2 linked regions of the Xenopus tropicalis genome follow. The protein of the gene in region 2 interacts with the protein of the main gene of each other region in a pairwise test. Links are inferred from orthologs where the notes say so. Each region holds a gene or a part of one and is shown on either strand. Other genes may lie near its edges.

Region 1 (4,142 bases), on a different chromosome or scaffold from region 2:
TCCATTTTCCAAAGTCCCACAAAGTTGCCTGCAGGAGGAAGCTTCGCGCCACTTTGGAAGACGGAAGTGATGCCTTTCCAGTGGTGATCCCCTTTGTTACCACAGGAAAGGCATTTTGGAGAGATTAGTTGCCCGCGGTAGCAGAGATCTATCGCAGGTGACTAATCTCTGTGTGGGACGCTATCTACAAGGTTTCAGAGAGCACAATCTGTAAATCGATTATTTACAGAGAGAGATAAACCAAGCAATTATGAAGGAAACCTCACAAACATTAGAGAAGACTGTTCCATATAAAGTGGGTGCAATTATTGGAAAATGAGCAGCAAGCATAACCAGCAGTGATGTTTCTGTAAGAGAAAATGTTATGCCTATTGCAGAATGAGCAGCAGGCATCACTAGCAGATATCCCACAATGCAACTATAAGCCTGCCTAGTAGGTACATTACTTATACTGATGTAGTGTCCTCTGCCCTAAAGGGAGACCTCAAACATGTACATGCCCAGCAAGCTTGAAATTTATTTTAAACTCAACAAAAGACAAGAAATGTGCACAGTGTGTCCTGCCCACAGGAGCTTGGTACTTGCCACCATTTCTAAGTAATATACAATCACCCCTTATTTTACAGGGCTTTAGGACATCATTGAAAGGGAAGTTTATTAAAGGGGAACTCCACCCAAGTACAACTTGAGCTTTTTGAAAAGTAAAGCTAATTTCAAGCAACTTTGCAATACACAAATTTTAAAATATGCATCCATTTCATGATTTTTAATGTAATAATATGGTTTGGAACAGTTCCCTAAGCCCCGCCTGATCTGGCCGACTACTTTGAGACTCAAATAAAATGTAACAGTAATTGCCTGCATCCTCCCAATCACACAATTCCCTGCACACGTGATGTCAATAAGAAACTTCACGGTGCAATGCATTGTGGGTTATGTAGTTCCTGCATGCTGTCTGTAAGCTGTGGAGAAGTTGTTACAATTTGTAACATCAATGTTTTAGTCCCTCCTCCACTGCTAGGATTTTAAATGATGCAGAAAGAGAAGAACTGTTTTGCAGCTGGACTTCAGCATATAAAAACTGTATTTCAAAAGAACAGATTACAGTGACAGGTATATTAGGAATGACTATTGTGTGGGGCTCTTTAACAAATTTTGGTTCAGAAGCCGGAGTTCCCCTTTAAAGATCTAAAGGCTATGAAGCGAGACCAGACACCAAAAAATGACTTATGCGCCTTAAATCATTTACAGTTTCTCTGTAATTGGTAATTTTAAAAATCACTGGCAAGAAACAAAAAGTACTAAAATAAAGACATTGGAAGCCCTGCTCCACATGAGGAGATGTCAATTCCTCAGCCCTCTGTCAATGCAGGTAGTGCATCTGACTTTACAGCATCACAGGGGCACCTTTGGGGCAGGAATATGCGGAAGAAAAAACCGAAAGAGCCACTCAAAACCGGTTCCTTGCATCAAGGAAGAAATGTCATTCTAAGCACCTTTCCAATATACATTAACGTTGGTTATGGAAGTTTATTTGTAAATGAGTTCTGACTGTATCTGCCTGGCTGTTTCCATTCTCTGCACTGCTGGTTCTGACACAATGTAGAAGTAGCAGGTAAATAAACTGGCTGTTTCCATTCTCTGCACTGCTGGTTCTGACACCTGACACAATGTAGAAGTAGCAGGTAAATGAAGTGATCTAGGGCAGAACTTCAGCTACATTGTTGCAAGAGTCAAGAACTACATATTATTATTAAGGATAAAGACATTTGTCCCACAGTTACAAGTGTAAATAACTTCTCATACTGTCAGTATTGGGGGGGGGGGCACTTTAAATGAGCACATGAACCCTATCCAAGCTGCAGCCCCCGTGTGTTGAGCTGCACATCGGCCCCAGCAGAGCAAGGCAGGGAGCTGCACATTAACAAAAGCTGGGGGGCAGGATAGCTCTTTGATGAATGTGATTTTGTCTGCCCTCTCAAATGGGGGCCCCCCAGCCTTCCTGCATTGCCCGGGGGCCCCCCAGCCTTCCTGCATTGCCCGGGGGCCCCCCAGCCTTCCTGCATTGCCCGGGGGCCCCCCAGCCTTCCTGCATTGCCCGGGGGCCCCCCAGCCTTCCTGCATTGCCGGGGGGGGCCCCAGCCTTCCTGCATTGCCGGGGGGGGGCCCCCAGCCTTCCTGCATTGCCGGGGGCCCCCCGTCTTCTCAAACTCCAGCCCTGCCCACAGCACATGCGGCCTCTTACGTTCGAAATCGGAGTCATCGTCATCTTCCTCGTCCTCCTCTTCGTCCCCGTTAGACTCGGTCTGCATGGGTTCCCCGTCGAAGTTGACCACCCGGGCGTGAGGCCGTAAAGAGCCGGCCCCTGCGCCATCCTGGAGCTGCTTCTCCTTCAGCCGGGTGAAATACTGTATCGCAAACTCCACCAGGTCCGGCGGCTTCTGGCGCAGCACTTCCACCGTATAACCCTGCAGTAAGTCCGTCAGGCCGGGCGGGATCTCGATGCTCATCGTCCCCGGGTTGGGGGGGGAGGTAGCCCCGTTTCGCTGCTATTCACACCTTACACTGGATAAGCTGAGCCACCAAGCAGGCCAGAGGGTGCTGTCCCCCCCTCTCTATATTCCTGATGGTTCCTCCGCTCGCACAGTCCCCCCTCCCTCCCCCCAACAAACCAGCGGACGCTGAGGAGTTGCCGCGGCTCAGGGAATCACCTCACACAGCCAGAAACCGGCGAGAGCGCAGCGCGCACTGATCCCTAAGAGCAGCGAGTAGGCCGGATACGCGAACGCGCAACAGGAGGCGGGAAAAACAGGGCAGAGCACTGGCTAAGAGGGAGGGACTATTTTCTGACGTCAATCCCTCGTCCTCTTCCGCCAGTATATTACATGGGGAACGCGGCTGCTTTGTCAACCTGCAACGTTACCTGAGCTTCTATGTCACCACGGTCCATTCTTGAAGCTGTCGTAAATGCGTCGAAAAGTTGAGCAGAGCTGTCATCCCTCAGGAAAAGAACTTACATGTCACTTGCTTAGCCCCACCCACTCATGCCAATAAGTGACAGCGGCCGGTGACGTTGGGTCCGCCCCTCTCTGCGTCATCTACTGCCTGGCCTTGGCTTAGGAGCGCTGGGAGCCAATGAGCTCTGTGTAAAAAGGTGAAGATAAGAGCGCTCAGTGTTGCAGCAGCTCTCTTGTTTTAATATGGTGCTAATAATCAGTAAAAGCTCAGTGTAGGCCAGGTTGTACCGCAACTGAATTAATGCTGCTATTTTTGAGTAAGAGACCTTCAAATGTTATTGACTGAAAAACTCCTATTGTCCTGTGGCAGATATAGGCTGTTGGGGCTAGAGGCAGAGTAAAAATACCTCAGGTACCAGAATGGACATATTTGCGTCATAGATGTATTCATGATAGAGAAGTATAGGAAGTAAATGTCTTGTTGGTACAATATGATAATAACTAGAGCTTCTCCAGCATTTAAATCCATTTTTCAAAAGCGTAAACAGATTTTTTAATATTTAATTTTGAAATTTCACATGGGGCTAGCCATATTCTTTATTTCCCAGGGTGCCACAGCCATGTGACCTGTGCTCTGATAAACTTCAAGTTCGAGTGATACCCCCCCCCCCCCCAGCAGCGGAATCAGCAGAACAGTCGGAAGTTAGCAAGATAGCAGCTCCCATTAGATATTAAAGGAGAAGGAAAGGCAAAGTCACTTGGGGGTGCCAAAATGTTAGGCACCCCAAGTGACTTTAACCGCTTACCTTGTACCCCGGGCTGGTGCCCCTGTTCGGAGAAAACAGCACCGCTTTCTAAACTGCCGGTGGCCGGGCATGCACAGTAGAGCGAAAAAGCCGACTTCAATATAAGTTTGGCTCTTCACTCTACTGCGCGCGCAGCGAATCGCAAAGGAGGAAGCACAAGCAGCTACCCCGGGTTGGTGCTGTTCTCTCCGAACAGGGGCACCAGCCCGGGGTAAAAGGTAGACGGTTAAAGTCACTTGGGGGTGCCTAACATTTTGGCACCCCCAAGTGACTGACTTTCTTTTTCCTTTAAAATAGCACTCAATAGTAAAACCAGGACTTCTCACGTGCTGCACCCATCCTTTGGAATGCTCTGTCCCGTCCCATGATTGGACACTCT
Region 2 (4,114 bases):
CTTAAATACAACACGGCAGGGAGAAAGTATTATTAGGAGCTTTTAATTACAATTATTACTGGATGGTGGATTTTTTTCCCCTCAAATTCCAGTTAATAGCGGCGTTAGTGTGGGACTCACTTGGCACGAGTCAGTGGCAGCTGCTGGCGCAACCTACTGTGGAAACCCTGGAATTACTGCCAGGGTCATGGTGTTGGCAATTCCATGGTTCCACAGCATCAAAAAGCATACTGGCACACTATCAGGCACCTCCTACTACTACAGGTATGGGATCTGTTACCGGAAACTCAATTTTAACCATATTCAAATTTTAAAAAATGATTTTCTTTTTCTCTGTAATAATAAAACAGTACCTGTACTTGATCCCAACTAAGATATAATTGCCCCTTATTGGGGCAGAACAGCCCTATTGGGTTTATTTAATGGTTAAATGATTCCCTTTTCTCTGTAATAATAAAACAGTACCCGTACTTGATTCCAACAAAGATATAATTACCCCTTATTGGGGGCAGAACAGCCCTATTGGGTTTATTTAATGGTTAAATGATTCCCTTTCTCTGTAATAATAAAACAGTATCTGTACTTGATCCCAACTAACATATAATGACCCCTTATTGGGGGCAGAACAGCCCTATTGGGTTTATTTAATGGTTAAATGATTCCCTTTTCTCTGTAATAAAAAAACAGTACCTGTACTTGATCCCAACTAAGATATAATTACCCCTTATTGGGGGCAGAACAGCCCTATTGGGTTTATTTAATGGTTAAATGATTCCCTTTTCTCTGTAATAATAAAACAGTACCTGTACTTGATCCCAACTAAGATATAATTACCCCTTATTGGGGGCAGAACAGCCCTATTGGGTTTATTTAATGGTTAAATGATTCCCTTTTCTCTGTAATAATAAAACAGTACCTGTACTTGATCCCAACTAAGATATAATTACCCCTTATTGGGGAGCAGAACAATCCTGTTGGGTTTATTTCATGGTAAAATGATTCCCTTTTCTCTGTAATAATAAAACAGTACCTGTACTTGATCCCAACTAAGATATAATTACCCCTTATTGGGGAGCAGAACAATCCTGTTGGGTTTATTTCATGGTTAAATGATTCCCTTTTCTCTGTAATAATAAAACAGTACCTGTACTTGATCCCAACTAAGATATAATTACCCCTTATTGGGGACAGAACAGCCCTATTGGGTTTATTTCATGGTTAAATGATTCCCTTTTCTCTGTAATAATAAAACAGTACCTGTACTTGATCCCAACTAAGATATAATTACCCCTTATTGGGGCAGAACAGCCCTATTGGGTTTATTTCATGGTTAAATGATTCCCTTTTCTCTGTAATAATAAAACAGTACCTGTACTTGATCCCAACTAAGATATAATTACCCCTTATTGGGGAGCAGAACAATCCTGTTGGGTTTATTTAATATTAAAATGATTTTTCGCAAGCTAACAGCATGGAGATCCAAATTATAGAAAGACCCCTTATCCACTATACCCCAGGTCCCAAGTATTATAAATAATAGGTCCGTATGGAAGTACAAGGAGCATGTTTGTGTGCAAATAACCTTAAGGGCTCTGGCACACGGGGGAGATTAGTCGCCCGCGACAAAACTCCCTGTTCGCGGGCGACTAATCTCCCCGAGTTGCCATGACCCGCCATCCCGCCGGCGAACATGTAACTTACATGTTCGCCGGCGGGATGATTTCCCGAAACCGCCGAAAAAGACTCGCGAGTCTTACATGTTCGCCGGCGGGATGGCGGGTCATGGCAACTCGGGGAGATTAGTCGCCCGCGAACAGGGAGTTTTGTCGCGGGCGACTAATCTCCCCCGTGTGCCAGAGCCCTTACAAATGTTGTCGATTTGTGCACAAAGTTGTGTCTATTTTTGAGCACCGCACTTTTGGTGATAAATATGGCTTACAGAGGAAATCTCATAAAATAGCTGGTGGGTATGCCCTGGTGCTTATTCCCCCAAGAGTACAGAAGGAAGTGTGCAGCTAATCACATCTCTGCCCTCCCTGTCAGATCTGCCAGCCCACAAGATGGGTGCCCAGCCTTCAAGCCAAATGCCATTTATATGAATGGGTGTCACCTGTTGATCACCTGACTGAAAATACACAGGGTGAAAGAGAGGTGTGTCACAAGCAGAGACAGTTTACATTCATATGAATGACAGGAGGTACTGGGTGGGCACTGGGTGCTGAACAAACTACATTGGCAGAGAAACACTGAGTGCCATAAGCCTTACTGCTTAGAGAGATTATGCTTTTACACCAGTAATCACTTACAGCTCCGCCAATACAAAGTTATTTACTATATAAAAAAAGAGAATAAATATCATATAGTACAATGCTAGGGAATATGTTGGAGCAATATAATAATTATATATACATGCATATCCCTTTCCAAGGGTTATTAGGGTGCCCCTCCTAGCAAAAGCAATAAGTACTATATAAAGAGTAGGTACAAAATGTTGCAGTTAAGGTGTAGAGTGGTTGACGCAGTGAGGATTACTTGCAGGAGAAGGTGAATAAGCCTGGGAGATCATACTAATCCTTGTATGGGAAAAAGAGAGCAAGGTGCTGCCTCTGCATAGCAAAATATAACAAGCAAAGGTGGCCAAACTCTACTAGCCAATTCGAAGCCAGTATTTACCGGTCTTCTGCTTCGGCTGGTTGTAAGCAAACACCTGATTGGCGCCCATTGGCTTGGGAACACTCGGGGAGGGGATAGGACAGTGCCAAGAGAGGAGAGTACTCACCACTTTCTATCTCGCCGCCCTTCTTTGCGGTAGCCGCGTTGCCCATGGTGGGGGGCGGACGGGTCCTCTAAGTTCTGGACAAACGCCCCCCACCGATAAGTTTAAGACCTGCGATGAGAAACTTATTCAGTTACCTCTTGATTACACATCTCTCGCCAGTCCAACTGTAAAGCCTACAATATATTAATAGAAAAGGATAAAACATTACAACTTTGTAAAGTGGGCATTAATCACTATCAGTCTAGTGGCCAACTGTGCTGTGGGCTGTTTGGCCGCCACCTCTCTATCTCCATTCCAGCCCCAAGCCCTACTAAGTCATTCCTATACGGAATCACACAGAAATCAGTAAACAGATTTCCTTGTGTTCTCCTGTATATTAAATGGAAATAAAAGTGTTAACATGGTTATAGGACAGACACTATAACAATGTTGTTATCCAGGTCTAGTTGCATTACATTTCCCAAAACCCCATAACAGGTTAAGAATATTGGGAGGGGCTAGGAGTTGACCAGCACATATGAAGGACTTTTGGTGCGGTGGAAGTATGGCTGCACTGGGGCGGTTAGATTCCAGCCGGGCAATATCTCCCCGTGTCTCTGTGAAATTCCTCCAGGTACTCGGGTTACCCCACACTCCAAAATTTTAAAGGCACTGGCTGTAGATAAATCTGCCCCTGGTGTGAGAGGAACATTAGATTGCAAGCTCCACTGGGCGGGGACTGGAGTGAATAATGAAAAAAGGATAATAATGCACCCAAACACCAGGCCTAAATAGTGGCACTTAGATATATGATATTGCCCCCAGAAAGGGAGTCATAAATCCATTGCACTCCCCAAAGCAATCTGCCCCCCTCCTGCCATGCCTAGGGGTACCCCCCAGGCCAGCCCACCATACTCACACCTGTGCGGCACACCTAACAGCCACAGGACCTATAGCAGCTGCCCCCCATGTTTAGGGGTACCCCCCCAGGCCAGCCCACCCTACTCCCACCTGTGCGGCAAACCTAACAGCCACAGGACCTATAGCAGCTGCCCCCCTCCCCCTCCCCTCCCGCAATGTTTAGGGGTACCCCCCAGGCCAGCCCACCCTACTCACACCTGTGCGGCACACCTAACAGCCACAGGACCTATAGCAGCTGCCCCCCTCCCCCCATGTTTAGGGGTACCCCCGCAGGCCAGCCCACCCTACTCACACCTGTGCGGCAAACCTAACAGCCACAGGACCTATAGCAGCTGCCCCCCATGTTTAGGGGTACCCCCCAGGCCAGCCCACCATACTCACACCTGTGCGGCAAACCTAACAGCCACAGGACCTATAGCAGCTGCCCCCCACCCC

Evidence for each region.
Region 1: the proteins of prkaca (region 2) and prkar2a interact in a protein complementation assay, tested with the Homo sapiens proteins (2 studies listed by BioGRID). The link is inferred for Xenopus tropicalis from reciprocal best matches to the Homo sapiens genes PRKACA and PRKAR2A.

Annotation. Positions count from the first base shown.
Region 1 is NC_030680.2:136,484,707-136,488,848, forward strand, and holds the start of prkar2a (cAMP-dependent protein kinase type II-alpha regulatory subunit), read right to left. Parts: upstream 2,808-4,142; 5' UTR 2,511-2,807; coding exon 2,246-2,510; intron 1-2,245. UniProt on the Homo sapiens protein: Regulatory subunit of the cAMP-dependent protein kinases involved in cAMP signaling in cells. Type II regulatory chains mediate membrane association by binding to anchoring proteins, including the MAP2 kinase.
Region 2 is NC_030679.2:134,205,108-134,209,221, forward strand, and holds the start of prkaca (cAMP-dependent protein kinase catalytic subunit alpha), read right to left. Parts: upstream 2,852-4,114; 5' UTR 2,826-2,851; coding exon 2,780-2,825; intron 1-2,779.